2 linked regions of the Astyanax mexicanus genome follow. The protein of the gene in region 1 interacts with the protein of each later gene in a pairwise test. Links are inferred from orthologs where the notes say so. Each region holds a gene or a part of one and is shown in the gene's direction. Other genes may lie near its edges.

Region 1 (7,568 bases):
AGGAGGGACAAAAAGAGGAGGAGGACACACTCACACTCTCACACTAACACTCACTCTCTGTCTGTCTTCTCTTTCTTCCTTCTTCCCTCTGTCTCTCTAATTTACTTCTCTCTTTTCAGATTCAGTAACTCTGTATTTACTGTTATTTTCTGTTTGTTTTGATATTCAATGTTTATTGGTTTCAGTGCACAGAAAAACAGCACATTAATCAGTTTCAACAAACAAACGAAACAAAAAAACATTTGTTGGTAGCACACCAAGAACAAGTGTTATTAAAAATATTCTATAAGTTAAACATAGCAATCAGTACAGTACGGCTGAAAAAGATGCAGAGCTTTTAGACCTCAAATAATGCAAAGAAAACAAGTTCATATTCATAAAGTTTTAAGAAATCAGTATTTGGTGGAATAACCCTGGTTTTTAATCACAGTTTCATGCATCTTGGCATGTTCTCCTCCACCAGTCTTACACACTGCTTTTGGATAACGTTATGCCACTCCTGGTGCAAAAAATCAAGCAGTTCGGCTTGGTTTGATGGCTTGTTATCATCCATCTTCCTCTTGGTTATATTCCAGAGGTTTATAATTTGGTGAAATCAAAGAAACTCATTTGTTATCATATTTAAGTGGTCTCTTATTTTTTCCAGACCTCTTTCTTTTTTCTTTCTAGCACCCTTCTCTCTTCCTTCTCCTAATTCATCATATTCTTGTCTTTCTAACGCTTCTTCTTACACTGACTGTTCTTTTTTCCACCGCATATTTAACGTTACCAGTGTTAAGTTTAACACTCCCTGTGTGTTAACTGGCAATCGTGCTGTGTAAGGTTTTTTCTCTTCCTTAGTTGTATCTGTTTATCTGTGTACAGTATTGTGAAATATTCCCCATGACAAATATGTCAGTATTTAGAAAACTACATTTGGTCTTTGATATTCAGTTAAAAAATCCTGAAGGATTAGGGAGATATTATTTGACACAGTTTAATTCATGTAAATACAATTTGTTGAGTTTATTGAGTGATTTATTCCTGCTTAAAACGCCTAAATTTAGAATCATCTCCAGGTAATTTAAATGTAGTAAGAGAGAATTTTGAAGTAGCCTGTCTCATTCAAACCTCAGCCATTTCTTTTACCCAATTGTGTTCTACACACTAATACTCTAGACTATATAGACTTATCTTAATAGTGCAGGTTTCAAAGATTAGCATACAAAATAATAATATAATAACCTGTTATGCACTAACAGGAAGAGATGAAAAACTGCTATGACAACAAACATCCCTGGCACAGCATTTGCATTGCTATTCAGCATTTTTCTGATGTTGTGTTGATGTAAATAGCTAAACCTCTTCTGTTTTACACTACAATGTGAGATAGTAGTGCCCATTGTAACATCACATTTTGTATATACTATAATTAGTTCATATTAATACTTTGTTTAAGTAGGGGGATTCATGAGGAGTTCTCTGAGGCCTTCAGAAAGAAGTTTGTTGATGTTTATGAATCTGGAAAGTATCTCAGAACAAACAGACCTCATTCCACTGTCCAGAAAATAATTTACAAGTGGAGAACATTTACTCTTTCTATCCCTACCTATCACTACCAATAATACATTGTAGAGTATACATGTTAAATTGGAAATTATGTAAATAGATAGTAAAATTATGAATTTCAACTGGTATCCCATGATTTTGCTATGTTTTATCTAAGGAATACCATAGTGACCTGTGGAATATGTGGATATGTGGATGTGATTTCTGCCAGAAATGTATAATTCTAGCCAGACACTGCTGGCCACCACTGTTACTACCAACTGCACTGTCTTCTGTGGGTGGTAATGTATTCTATGATGTTTTAAGAAACTGTGGATTGAGAAATGTTAAATGCTTGCATAGCTTCAGAAATGGAATGTCCCATTTGGGCACCCAATAACATGCCTTGCTGAAACTGCATTTTTTATGATGCTTGCCAAGAGCACGCTGGCCAGGTACAAACTCACTTACAAGATAAAACCTCAAAAGTGTGGACACTGCCAAGCTGTCCCTTGAGGTAACATTTCACAATCAATTACATACTGCTTTCCTATGATTTTGCCAGTGTTATATTTTTACATTTCCATGAAAAGTTTATATATTATTATTTACGTTTACATATTACCCAAACTATTAATACTCTGTTATTACTTCTTTAGGGTAACAATAGTCCAGCTGAAGTAAGCTTAGCTGATGTTGTTCCCTAGTGCCCATCATTACCTGTTGTCCCATAATGAACACCTCAGTCGAACTTACCTCCTCCATTTAGGCATTACTGCTTTGTACAACAAACTGGCTTTTTCTGTCACTCAGCACATTTCATCAAAAAGAAAACATAAGCAGCAGTTTCTAAATGATTACTGAGTGGAAAAGGAAGAACTTGGTCCACACGAGAGATTTATTTTTCAAGCTGTTCTGGTGTGTTCAGGTGCAGGCTTAGAAATGGTGCAGCTAATGAGACTCACTCAGTTCCAGAGGATGAAGCGCTGTATGATTTATTTATCAGTGCAAAAAATATCCTCTGAGCACCTCACCTTCTATGATTTTTTTGCGTGATTTACATAGAGAGAAAGATTTTCTTAGATTTGTGTGTAGCAATAATACAGGCTAATACAGTTTTACATTCCTAAATGTTATTTATTACCATAAATGTGATAGAAAAAAATATTAGATCACAATATCCATACTGAAACCACTAACATATATTATGTGTACATGAATAATACTTTTATACATACTGTATATAAATAGTAATATACATATAACATAAATATAGTGTTCATAAAACATCAACTGTTCATTATACTGTACACTGAAGACATAAAGACTCCAAGCTAGTGTGATGTGGAAAACAGATGCTATTGATCCTTTTATCTCAAATACACTAGAACTTGTGTGTGGTCAAAGTCAAGCCTCCGTGCTTAGATTTAAAACATGGTCTAAATCTCAAACAAAAACGGTCCTTATATCCTTCTATCTCTACTGGCCAGCAGCTACTAAGCAGTCACCCCCCTCCCTTCCCTCCCCATATGTCTGCTCTCTGCTAAGAGGAAGCCAAGCCATATAATTTCTGCTTACTCACCATCCACATGTCTCACCACCTCTGCAGTGAAATGAACAGCCCCGCGAGCATGCACTGCTCTCAGGTCATAGATCAATTGTCTTATTGCCCATGAGTGTTGACATATTATTTTCCATAAGCTAATAGTTCTGTATACCAATCAGAATAAGATTCAATTCATGAAATTAAAAACATATGAGACAAAGGTTTTTGGACTGTTAAGCATTGTGCTCACTTTTGACAGCTTCCCAAAATATTTAATAATTAGTAGTGTTTAATAGTGTTTAATAATTGAAAAAACAATATAACAATTTAACTATAATTGTACTTATAATTGTATAAGTCTTATATTTTAGTGGAACAATGTAAACAAATATTAAAATACTTTATGCATTAAATTATGAGCTCTTTAAATTGTAAAGTTGAGACACATATTCCCTTACTATCATACATTAGTTTTTTTTTTTTTTGTAACATTAAAATAAGTGGACTTTTTTAAAGGGGCACTAATCACCTGATTTTTGCTGACTCCACCCTCAGCTTTAATTTAAAATATGCTAAAAATTGGGAGGGGTAGTTTGGGAGGGGCACTGGGTGATGTATGGGTTTAGAAGCAGGGCAGGAGGGAGAGCTGTTTGTTAGTCACATTTACTCACCTCATGCCATTCGCAATCATTTAGTCCCCCGTGGGCAATGCTAATACCTCTTGATTGGGGAAAACAGTCTGTGTCACCTGCGAGTGCAATTGTATTCACTCTTGGGCCACTCGTTCTAGATTCCAGGAGATTTTATCTGACTTGCGGGCATCAGGGAGCCGTTATTGATATGCTGTAGATTCCCACAACTTCTGGGAGACTTGGGAAGTCTGCAGTATAATTGATTGATGGATGTGCTTATTGTGATGTGTCTGCGTTCCAAAGCAAACGGACACAGCATTCACTTCTTTAGCACAGTTAAACCTGAGAGGGCACTACAGGCAGAAATTATCAGTGTTTTTTTAAAAAGTGTTAAAATGTTTTTTAAAGGTTAGAAAATGTTTATAAACATCTTAAGCCGGAGTGGTATATGTTTAGTTACTTCAGGAACACATTTAGCTATTAATAGCAAAATATGGTTTAGAGTTTAGTGGCTCTGTAAAGAGTAAATAGATGTTAGCAGATGTGAGAAATTGGTGGTTTCAAGTCTAAGCATTGTGTTCTTGTGTTAATAGATTATACTTATATGATTAAGTCAAGTTTATTTAAAGTTATAAATACTGTTCAAATAATTTAAATGGATATGTTTTTTTTCGTATTAAAACAGCGTTGTTTTGTTGGCCTCAAACAAACGGACCTTTACACACGCTACATTTGCGGCGTCAACACGGAGACATTACGCGAGCGCACAGGGGGCGTGGCTTGGTTTGATTGACAGGGTTCGGACCAATTGAGTCACGTCTAGATTTACGGAGCAGATGAAATGAACCAATCATATTCACGAACACCCAACAACAACAAACCGAGCACGCTTTAAACAGAGCGCACAGAATCACATGTGAGAGCGGCCGGAGAGAGAGAGAGGTCGACATGGAGCTAAGAAAAAGAGAAATTACTCACAGAACCTGAGAAATGTTAATCTGCGCTGTGGAAAGAGCTCAGCTCTCTCACACTGTACCTGCTGATTTAGGGCCGCAGGAGTAATAAAGCTAAAGTTTCATCATGAGTTTATCCCGCTGCTGGAGAAGAGCTCTGCGGATGACCGCAGTAAGGTGTGTACTAGGATAGGTTACTGGTGCTGAGATCACAGACACCATTTCTGTATATTGATGGCTAATAAAACATTTAATCAGGTAAATTCAAGGAGCAGCGTGTTCATGTTTATTTTCCATATTGTGGGCGCATGCCTATAAATACAGCTCTAGGAAAAATTAAGAGATCACTTCAGTTTCTAAATCAGGTTCTCTGATTTTGCTATTTATAGGTATATGATTGAGTAAAATGAACATTGTGGTTTTATTTTATAAACTGCGGACATTTTTCCCAAATTCCAAATAAAAATAGATAGATGCTAGATGATTTGGAGCATTTATTTGCAGAAAATGAGAAATGAAATAACAAAAAAGATGCAGAGGTTTTAGACCTCAAATAATGTGAAGAAAACAAGTTCATATTCATAAAGTTTTAAGAGTAGAGAAATCAATATTTGGTGGAATAATCACAGTTTTCATGCATCCTGGCATGTTCTCCTTTACCAGTCTTACGCACTACTTTTGGATAACATGGTGCCACTACCGGTGCAAAAAATCCAGCAGTTTAACTTGGTTTGATGTCTTGTTTATATCCCAGAGGTTTTCAGTTTGGTAAAATCAAGGAAAAACATTATCATTAAATGGTACCTTAATTTTTTCCAGAGCTGTATGTTAGGTTTAAAAATCCTGATGTAGCATGAATGACACAACAATTAAATAGCTCATATTTTAATATTTGGTTCTAGAAATCAGACCAGAACTAGTTATATAGAATACAAAACATCAAATGAAAGCGTTTGAATTGTTAAAATTGTTGAAAACAAACTAACCCAGCACCATATATTCTGTAAATGAGATAAGATGAACTAAAGCACCTATTCACACACTGTCCTGTCACTTAGGGAATTTATCCTTTAAAATTACAGACAAAGTGCTGTATGGAAATTTACACAGTTTTTTAATGTTCACCATGGGCTCTTTTGGGTTAGGAGTGAATGAATAATGACAGGTTGTGTGTGTAACATTCTTCTCTGCAGGCTGCGGGTGCGTGTAAGATGTGATTCTTCAGTCAGCAGTGCCGCTGGACCCGTGGACACTATCTACGCTCTCTCCTCTGGGCAGGGCCGGTGTGGAGTGGCCGTGGTCCGGGTCAGCGGACCGGCTGCAGGCGGGGCTCTCCGCAGTGTGGCCGGTCTGAGCCGCGCTCTACCCGCCCCCCGAACCGCCCTCCTGCGCAGCATCCTTAACCCACAGACCAATGAGGTGCTGGACCGAGGCCTGGTGCTGTGGTTTCCAGGTTCGTTTACAGCTCAGCGGGGTCAATATTAAGGGTGTTCTGTATCGAATGCAATAATATCGGTAAAGTTTTATGTCGCAAAATACCCTGAAGTATCGTCATATTATTTTAGGGCAATATGGACCATCAGGGCACATTTTCTAACAGTTTGAAAGGAAAAGGAACATTTACACGGTTCTTATTTTCCAATAAATATCTAATAGAGACAGATTATATACAGCTCTGGAAAAAAAATTAGAGACCACTTAAAAATAATAAGTTTCCTTGATTTTACAAAATTGTAAACCTCTGGAATATATTCGAGGAAGATGGATGATCACAAGCAATCAAACCAAGCTGAACTGCTTGAATTTTTGCACCAGCAGTGGCAAAACGTTACCCAAAAGCAGTGTGTAAGACTGGTGGAGAAGAACATGCCAAGATGCATGAAAACTGTGATTAAAAACCAGTGTAATTCTACCAAATATTGATTTCCAAACTCTACAGAAATTAATATTTAGGTGTTAGCTACATTACAACAAATATTAAAAGTAGCCATTGCTACAATATTAACATTTAAATAATTTAATACCTAGAAATATGTTTGCTATCATCCTGTTACTGTTTCTTTTGAGGTGTGTTTGCTGTCAAACATATATCAAAAAAGGATTATAATTATATATTATATATTATATTATATGTCTATTACAGTTACATTTCTAATACATATGAGAATTTGCCCAATAGAGAAAAATCTCCATCTTTATGATCTTTTGCGAACTTTTATATACAGCGAATAGCAGTTTGGTGTAGTATTTCTTTAACTTGTTATTGATTTAACATAAAATTAACTTTAACCTTAAAATATACATTAATAGTGGAACACTTAGTTTAAAAAGTGAAAATATTGCTATATTCTTCAAAATATTCTTCAAAAACTTTACAGAAAAATATATATTTTAAAATATTTAAGTATAAGTTAATTTGGAGCGTTTGTTTTAAAACAAACATAGAGATATATGTTTTTTTTGTTTTTTTTGCATGCATGACAGCAAGGACATATCAAATCCTATATATGTACATATTCTCTTAATGCATTAAATTGTCTTATTGTTATTGAGTGTATGGTGGTTTGCGCTTGTATTATTAATAGTATTACTTATCTTGATCAATCTTTAACACTTAATTCACAATCTGTCTGAGGTGTGAAGAAGATTGAGGTGTGAAAAAGTTGTTACACCTTTTTTTTTACACGGTTCTTATTTTCCAATAAATATCTAATAGAGACAGATTATATACAGCTCTGGAAAAAAAATAAGAGACCACTTAAAAATAATAAGTTTCCTTGATTTTACCAAATTGTAAACCTCTGGAATATATTCGAGGAAGATGGATGATCACAAGCAATCAAACCAAGCTGAACTGCTTGAATTTTTGCACCAGCAGTGGCAAAACGTTACCCAAAAGCAGTGTGTAAG
Region 2 (7,199 bases), on another chromosome or scaffold:
ATATATTATGTTTGTGAAATAATCCATAGCTTCAACTGCTTTAAAACAATTATATATTGTGTATGTCTATATACAGTATCATTACTTTCAGAATAATGTATTGTACATACTAGGGGTGGGCAATATCATATCGTATGCAATATATCGTGACACAGAAATACCATGATATTTTGTCTTAAAAGTAGTCTATTATTTACTGTGAAGCTTTTGTTGTATAATTGTTTTAGTTTATAGTTTTTGTTTGCAGTTTATATGCATGGAAATATTCTGCAATATGTTTTGCTGCATTATATTATTTTATGCTATATTATTTATGTTGTCACATTATGATTATACTGTAACTATTATACTATATTCCTGAAATGAATTTAATTATGAAATGAATTATTTTTCTGTTTTCCTATATTGCCAAGTATATGCCCTGAAATATCGTGATATTATTTTAGAGCCATATCACCCGCCCCTAGTACATACTACATAATAAGTCTGATATGAGTCTCATATGTATGATATATATATATATATATAAAGTATCTCACAAAAGTGAGAACACCCTTCACATTTTTATAAATAATGTATTATATCTTTTCATGGGACAACACTAAAGATATGACACTTTTATATAATGTAAAGTAATCAGTGTACAGCTTGTATAACTCTACATACAGCCACTAATGTCTAAACCACAGGCAACAAATAGTAAGTACGCCCCTAAATGAAAAAAAAAAAAAAAACATTTGTGACCACAAATATTTCTACTATAATCTCTAGTCATATACAGTATGTAGGTTCTTATATGTAACATGGGTCATAGTAATATAACCCATACGTATTATTTAACCACACACACCTCCTCCGTTCTTGTAGCACAGGTAAGGGAATCGCCACACGTTCCCCAGGCCGATGATCTCTCCAGCCATGGACAGCAGAAACTCCGTCTTATTGGCCCACTTCTCTCTGTGCTCTGGACCACCGGGTTCATTCTCCTTCTGAGGATCTGCAGACCCGCTGATAGGAGTGTCTTCCCCTCTGCTCTCCCCCATGAAGCCTGTCTCTCTCTCACACACGCTCACACTGCAGTGCATGTCAAATTATAATGATTTTTTTTCACATTTAGATTTGCATTGCGGGTACAATGTTTGCATAATTAATCCTAACATAACTGTAATGAGAAAGAATGACTTTGAAGTTGACTGTCACTGTTACTTTGAATAGTGCACTTCAGAATGCATCATATCTTCTGATTTCCCACACAGTACACCAACAAATCAGGAGCTACACAGTAAATTCACTAGTTTTAAATAAACACAGTAGTGTACAGTTTTACACTCTCAGGGTAACCTTAACATTTAACACTAATAGCGTTAATTTAACACTGGTGAATTTACTGTGTATTTTTCATTCTCACAATTTTCAGATTTTTTTCAAGCCCATAACATGAAAGATATGTTCATCCTACAAAAAGTATATTTTCCTCCATAACCATACAGTCATTATTAATATTAATGTTAATATTTGTATCAACATTGGCAAGTTATTTACGTTAAAACGTGACAGGGTTGCTAATCTAATCAAAAATAACAATAATAAAAACCCTGATATAATTTTAATTGTAATAGAATGGCAACTAAAATATTTTTTAAAACATAAGTTTCATAAAAATGTAGTCAAATGTGAACAAATGAAGACACTAAAACTAATCTCATTTAATCTGATTTCAATATATAAATAAACAAACAAACAAACAACAATCTAATCTCATCTAAACTTTCCAGAACAAACTTTTTCCCCTTAACAATGTTATATAATGTAATTTTATATAATGTAATATATAATGTAATGAAATGAAATCACATCTCATTCATTCTGATCTATTTAAATAATAAAATAAAATAAATAAACATCTATCTAATCTTATCTAAACTTTCCAGAACAAAACTTTTTCCCTAACAATCTAATCTAAATATACAAATACACTAAAACTCGTAGGTGTAGTATAATAGCCATTAAAACTTTTCAGAACAAAATTGTTTGCCTCAAAAAATTGTAGTCTATCCAATAATATATGGAACATTCTGATTTAAAAACAGCACTTAGGTGTAACAGAACAGCCCTAAAAGTATAACCTAGTTTATCCCAATCTGATCTAAACTGAACACATAAATAAATTAAAAGCACCCTTAGGAGTAATAGAATGCTAAATTAAATCAATTTAATCTGCAACATAGCATATGTGTAATAAAATAGCCAATATTGGCTTCCAGAACAAAGCATTCTCACTAAACAACCCTGATGTGTAATAATACACTGTTCATGAACAACTTCCAGAATATGAGAAAGTTTTTAACTTGCAGCAGCTCCACTAAATAAGAAAAATGACTGCATTTCTGCAAAAATAACTAAAATATCTGCAGAATGAAGAGCAGGATGGAGTAAAAGACGAATGCAGACTCACCAGAATCAGCTGTGATTATTCCCTGTGAGAGTGCAGTGAACTAAGTTCTGCAGAATCAGACAGTTGTGGGGAATGCTCTGGGAGTTTGTGTGGGAGCACTCTTATCCCCACCTGTTTTCCGGAAGCCACGCCCCATTTCTCTGGATCTGGCTCCCACAACCTTGTAGCGCCAGTTTTGTTTCCCGCCCGTTTAACGCCGAGCCCCGCCCACCTACACTAGGATTAGCTGCTAAGAGCCATTGGCCAATCCTAGCTTGGGGGAGGGGATTGTCTGAAAATGGGTGGGATTAAAACTATCCGTTGGGAGGGCGTGTCTGGTCTGGCTCAGATGGTTTGGCAGCTCAGAGGGAGCATTTCTTCTCCTGCAGGGAATTCAGGATTCCAGAGAATTCCAATTCCAAAAACAGTTTGGCTATGTTTAAAGTCAAATATAATATAATTTGAATATATCTTGAATTATCATTGAGCAAGTAACAGTGATAATCACAGGGTTGTTGGTTCAATACTCAATTTTTAGGTCCACTGAGCATATAGTAGAATTTGTAGTTCTGTAAGTAAAGACTGTATCTGTTTCTCTGCATACTTTATTATTATCCTCCTTTTAGCCCGTTATTCAATGGTCACCATTGCCAGTTAGCCTATTAGCTAACTGGCTAATCTGCCGTTGTTAGTGCTCAGGCCAGCTTGTATTCTTAAACTTGTATGCCAAAAACAATTAAGAACATAATTTTTTTAACTGTACTAAATAAACTTTTGATGAAAATATATTCAAACATCTAAATTTGCATCTCATTTGTAAGCCTGTTAAGCAGAGCTGGTAAATTTTCTCATTACAGAGCAACATATTCCAGCTATTAATTTAAAAAATGTGAGAGTAGTTACTATCAAAGACATTTTGAGCTGTGGTTTATTAAAGGTTTAACGCACAACGTTAAAACAACATTGGCAGTTTTTAAAATCAACACCAAATCCAACATTGATTCAACCATAACATCAACGTTAAATCAACATTAATTCAGCATTGAAATGCCAGCAGGGTTTATTTAGCTCTGAAAAAAAAAGAAACCACTTAAAATGATAAGTTTCTTTGATTTTACCAAATTGAAAACATCTGGAATATAATCAAGAGGAAGATGGATGGTCACAAGCCATCATATCAAGCTGAACTGCTTGAATTTTTGCAGCAGGAGTGGCATAAAGTTATCCAAAAGCAGTGTGTAAGACTGGTGAAGGAGAACATGCCAAGATGCATTAAAACTTTGATTAAAAGCCAGGGTTATTCCACCAAATATTGATTTCTAAACTCTAAAAACTTTATGAATATGAACGTGTTTTCTTTGCATTATTTGAGGTCTCAAATACATTTCTCATTTTCTGCAAATAAATGCTTTAAATGACAATATTTTTATTTGGAATTTGGGAGAAATGTTGTCCGTAGTTTACGGAATAAAACAAACATACACCTATGAATAGCAAAATCAGAAGTGGTCTCTTATTTTTTGCCAGAGCTGTATGTTCAATACTGAATGATTCAGTTTATTGAATAGATATAGGAAACAGACATTTATTCGGGTCGTGTTGTGCACCAACAAACAATATATATTACTTATAAAATGGATAAATCTATATTTTAAAACATTTAATAGAAAATCATCACTTTCTTTTTAAAAAATAAATAAATCTTTTTTTTTTCTTCATGGATGCGGACGGGAGCGTCAGGGCGACGTCAGCCGTGACGAATGCGGAAGCCCCGGTAAACAATAACAACGAAGCGAAAAGGAAAGGAAATAAAAATGAAAAAGATTGATATTTCGCTGAAAATGATGAGGACAGTGATACTGCCGGAACCCAGACATTACTGCCTTTAAACTGGGCGGACTGTACTGGTTCTGCAGGGCAGATAAGAGAGACTGTAGCAGTGCAGCCGAGGGGCTCGAGCAGCAGCGGATAAGGTAATGATAGTGGATTTAAGCTCACTGCAGTTAAACAGCACTGATTAATTAATTACTCTCTTTTCTATTATCAGTATATAGCTAAAATACACTGTACAGCACCAGCCCAGCGCTGAATACTGAGAGATTCACTCACCCTGGAGCTCAGTGAAAAGGGTGTAAATGAAGTATGTGTTTATTCTGCTGATAAATTACAGATATAATGTAACAGTGTAATAACTATCCAGTGTTTTATTCAGTAAAGTTAGTTTTTGCAGTGAGTGAGAGTTAGATTACCATCTTTCTGTGTTTCTGGATGAATACTGAAAGTAAACCATAACAGTATAACTGATCAAACTTACATTAACACAATTCTTACTGTAGCATTTTTAATATACAGCACTGAAAAAAAAAATTAAGGCACCACCTCAGTTTCTGAATCAGTTTCCCTGATTTTGTAGGTACATGTTTGAGTTAAATAAACAGATTTGTTTGCAGAAAGTGAGAAATGGCTGAAATGACAAAAAAGATGCAGAGCTTTCAGACCTCAAATAAGGCAAAGAAAGCAAGTTTATGTTCATAAAGTTTTAAGAATCCAGAAATCAATATTTGATGTAATAACCTTGGTTTTTAATCACAGTTTTCATGCATCTTGGCATGTTCTCCTCCACCAGTCTTACACACTGCATTTGGATAACTTCATGCCACTCCTGGTGCAAATATTCAAGCAGTTCGGCTTGGGTTGATGGCTTGTGCTCATCCATCTTCCTCTTGATTATATTCCAGAGGTTTTCAATTCACTTTTAAGTGGTCTATTATTTTGTTCAGAGCTGTATAGTAGTATGTCACTGTCATACAGAAATATTGTATCTCCAAAAGACCTACAGTTCCAGTCCAAAAGGTTGCACGTCTTCTCATTCAATAGGTTTTCTATTTTTAAAATAATTTTTACATTATAAATTTAATATTTAAGAGACTATACATAAACTATACAAGGACACATACAGAATTATAGTGTAAACACTGTAAAAAGGAATGTTTTATACTTTAGATTCTTCAAAGTACCACATTTAGCTTTGAGAACAGATTTGCACACTCTTCTCAGCATCCTGAAGGAGTTCCTAAAGGTGCTGAACAATAGTTGCTGCCTTTCCTTCATGCAGTGCTGCAGCTCATCCCAAATCACCATCATAATTTGGTTTAGGTCAGGAAATTGTGGCGTACAAACACTTTTATTACTGTATACTACATAATTCATCAGGTTTAATATTAATCAACAATGTAGAAAATTAACTAAATAAAGAAATAAAGAAAAACATTGAATGTGCATCCAAACTTTTGACGGCCCTTGGCGGCAACAACTGCAATCAAGCTTTACCAATAACTGGCAATGAGTCTTTCACATCTCTGTGGAGGAACTTTGGCCCACCCTTCTTTACAGTATTGGTTTAATTCAGTTCAAAGTTCAAAGAGTTTATTGTCATGTGCACAGTAAGAAACAAGTTTCCTCGTACAATGAAATTCTTTCTTTGCCCCTCGCCAAGTATGCCGCATAAAGATAAAAATAGAAAATATACAATAAAGAAAGAATAAAAAACAAAATATAAATATTAATTAGTGTTAACTTTACATCCATGATGGAAATATATACATGAAAGCAGTAATGGGGTATGGATATTATTTACAAGTAAGTACATGTTATCTACAGCAGTGGAATATGAAAAAGTGCAAAAGGTTCAGCCACATTAGAAGGTTTTCCTGCATGAACAGACTGTTTTATATACATAAAAAGTAAACTGTGAGGTTTGTTGTACTTATGTGAGATTTTAATTATTTTAATTTAATCAATTATACTGTTATTAGGCCACATTTAGCCAGATATGTTATTACATGTTAGAGAAGCAGGCTTGACACCAGATGGTTGCTGGGTAATGTAAGGCTTAGATGCAGCTACTCAGCCATGGAAATTCACTCCATGGATCTCTCCTTACTCTGAAGGCCACATGAAATTTGGAGGTCTGTAGTAATTGACTGCAGAAGGTCTGTAACCTCTGTGCACTATGCTTCGCTCTACCATTTTACATGATCTAACACTTTGTACTTTTTGTAACAGTTGCTTATGTTTCCAGTTGTTTTCGTTTTGGCAAATTGTGGTAATGACATTTTGTATTTTTTTTGTAGATGCATTGCTCTGCAGGTGACAAGTGTCTGCAGCAGCATGTGGAGAACACCATCTTTAACCCCAGGAGTCCTGAGGAGGAGAGCGGTGAGGAGGAGATGGACACATCAGAACCCAACTGGCACTGGTTCTACCTGGCAGAGTGTGGAGTGTGGCATATGTTTGAAGTATGTGGTTCTTCCTTGGTCAGCTTTTACAAGTTTGCTTCCTTGCAAAAATGCAAGGAAAAAATGTCACTTACATTTTGTTGTACTTTTATTTGATTGCAGGCTGTATTAACACAACACACAGTGGTGTTCAAAATAAGTCAGCCTCCATTGCAGTAAAGTGTTTAGCAAGTTTAACTTTATTTTTTAAACTTATTCACAATCAGATTAAATAAGGACAAATGCAACTTTGTATGGCATTTAGCTGACAGTTTTATCCAAAGTGACTTACAAGGTTATTTCTATTACAGTGGTGGGTCACACACTTGATGTGGTAGCGCACTAGAAGGTAGTGGTGTTATCCACTGTGCCACACCAACCACACACCAACTTAAATTACATCAATACTTTTTCTAATATATCAACAAGTTCTTTTTGGGATTTCCTCATTGACAAAACTATACAACCCCTTAGTCACATTCAACATT

What was found.
Region 2: the proteins of gtpbp3 (region 1) and protein mono-ADP-ribosyltransferase PARP11 interact in binary tests that used the Homo sapiens proteins (3 or more experiments, as listed by UniProt). The two-hybrid records come from large-scale screens. The link is inferred for Astyanax mexicanus from reciprocal best matches to the Homo sapiens genes GTPBP3 and PARP11.

The regions. Positions count from the first base shown.
Region 1 is NC_064423.1:19,286,443-19,294,010, reverse strand, and holds the start of gtpbp3 (tRNA modification GTPase GTPBP3, mitochondrial), read left to right. Parts: upstream 1-4,568; 5' UTR 4,569-4,785; coding exon 4,786-4,835; intron 4,836-5,851; coding exon 5,852-6,111; intron 6,112-7,568. UniProt on the Homo sapiens protein: GTPase component of the GTPBP3-MTO1 complex that catalyzes the 5-taurinomethyluridine (taum(5)U) modification at the 34th wobble position (U34) of mitochondrial tRNAs (mt-tRNAs), which plays a role in mt-tRNA decoding and mitochondrial translation.
Region 2 is NC_064409.1:19,623,689-19,630,887, reverse strand, and holds the start of protein mono-ADP-ribosyltransferase PARP11, read left to right. Parts: upstream 1-4,175; 5' UTR 4,176-4,407; intron 4,408-6,567; coding exon 6,568-6,732; intron 6,733-6,893; exon of another isoform or gene 6,894-7,199. Other genes in the region: sodium- and chloride-dependent GABA transporter 2, read right to left, coding at 851-1,043. UniProt on the Homo sapiens protein: Mono-ADP-ribosyltransferase that mediates mono-ADP-ribosylation of target proteins. Plays a role in nuclear envelope stability and nuclear remodeling during spermiogenesis. Inhibits the type I interferon activated signaling pathway.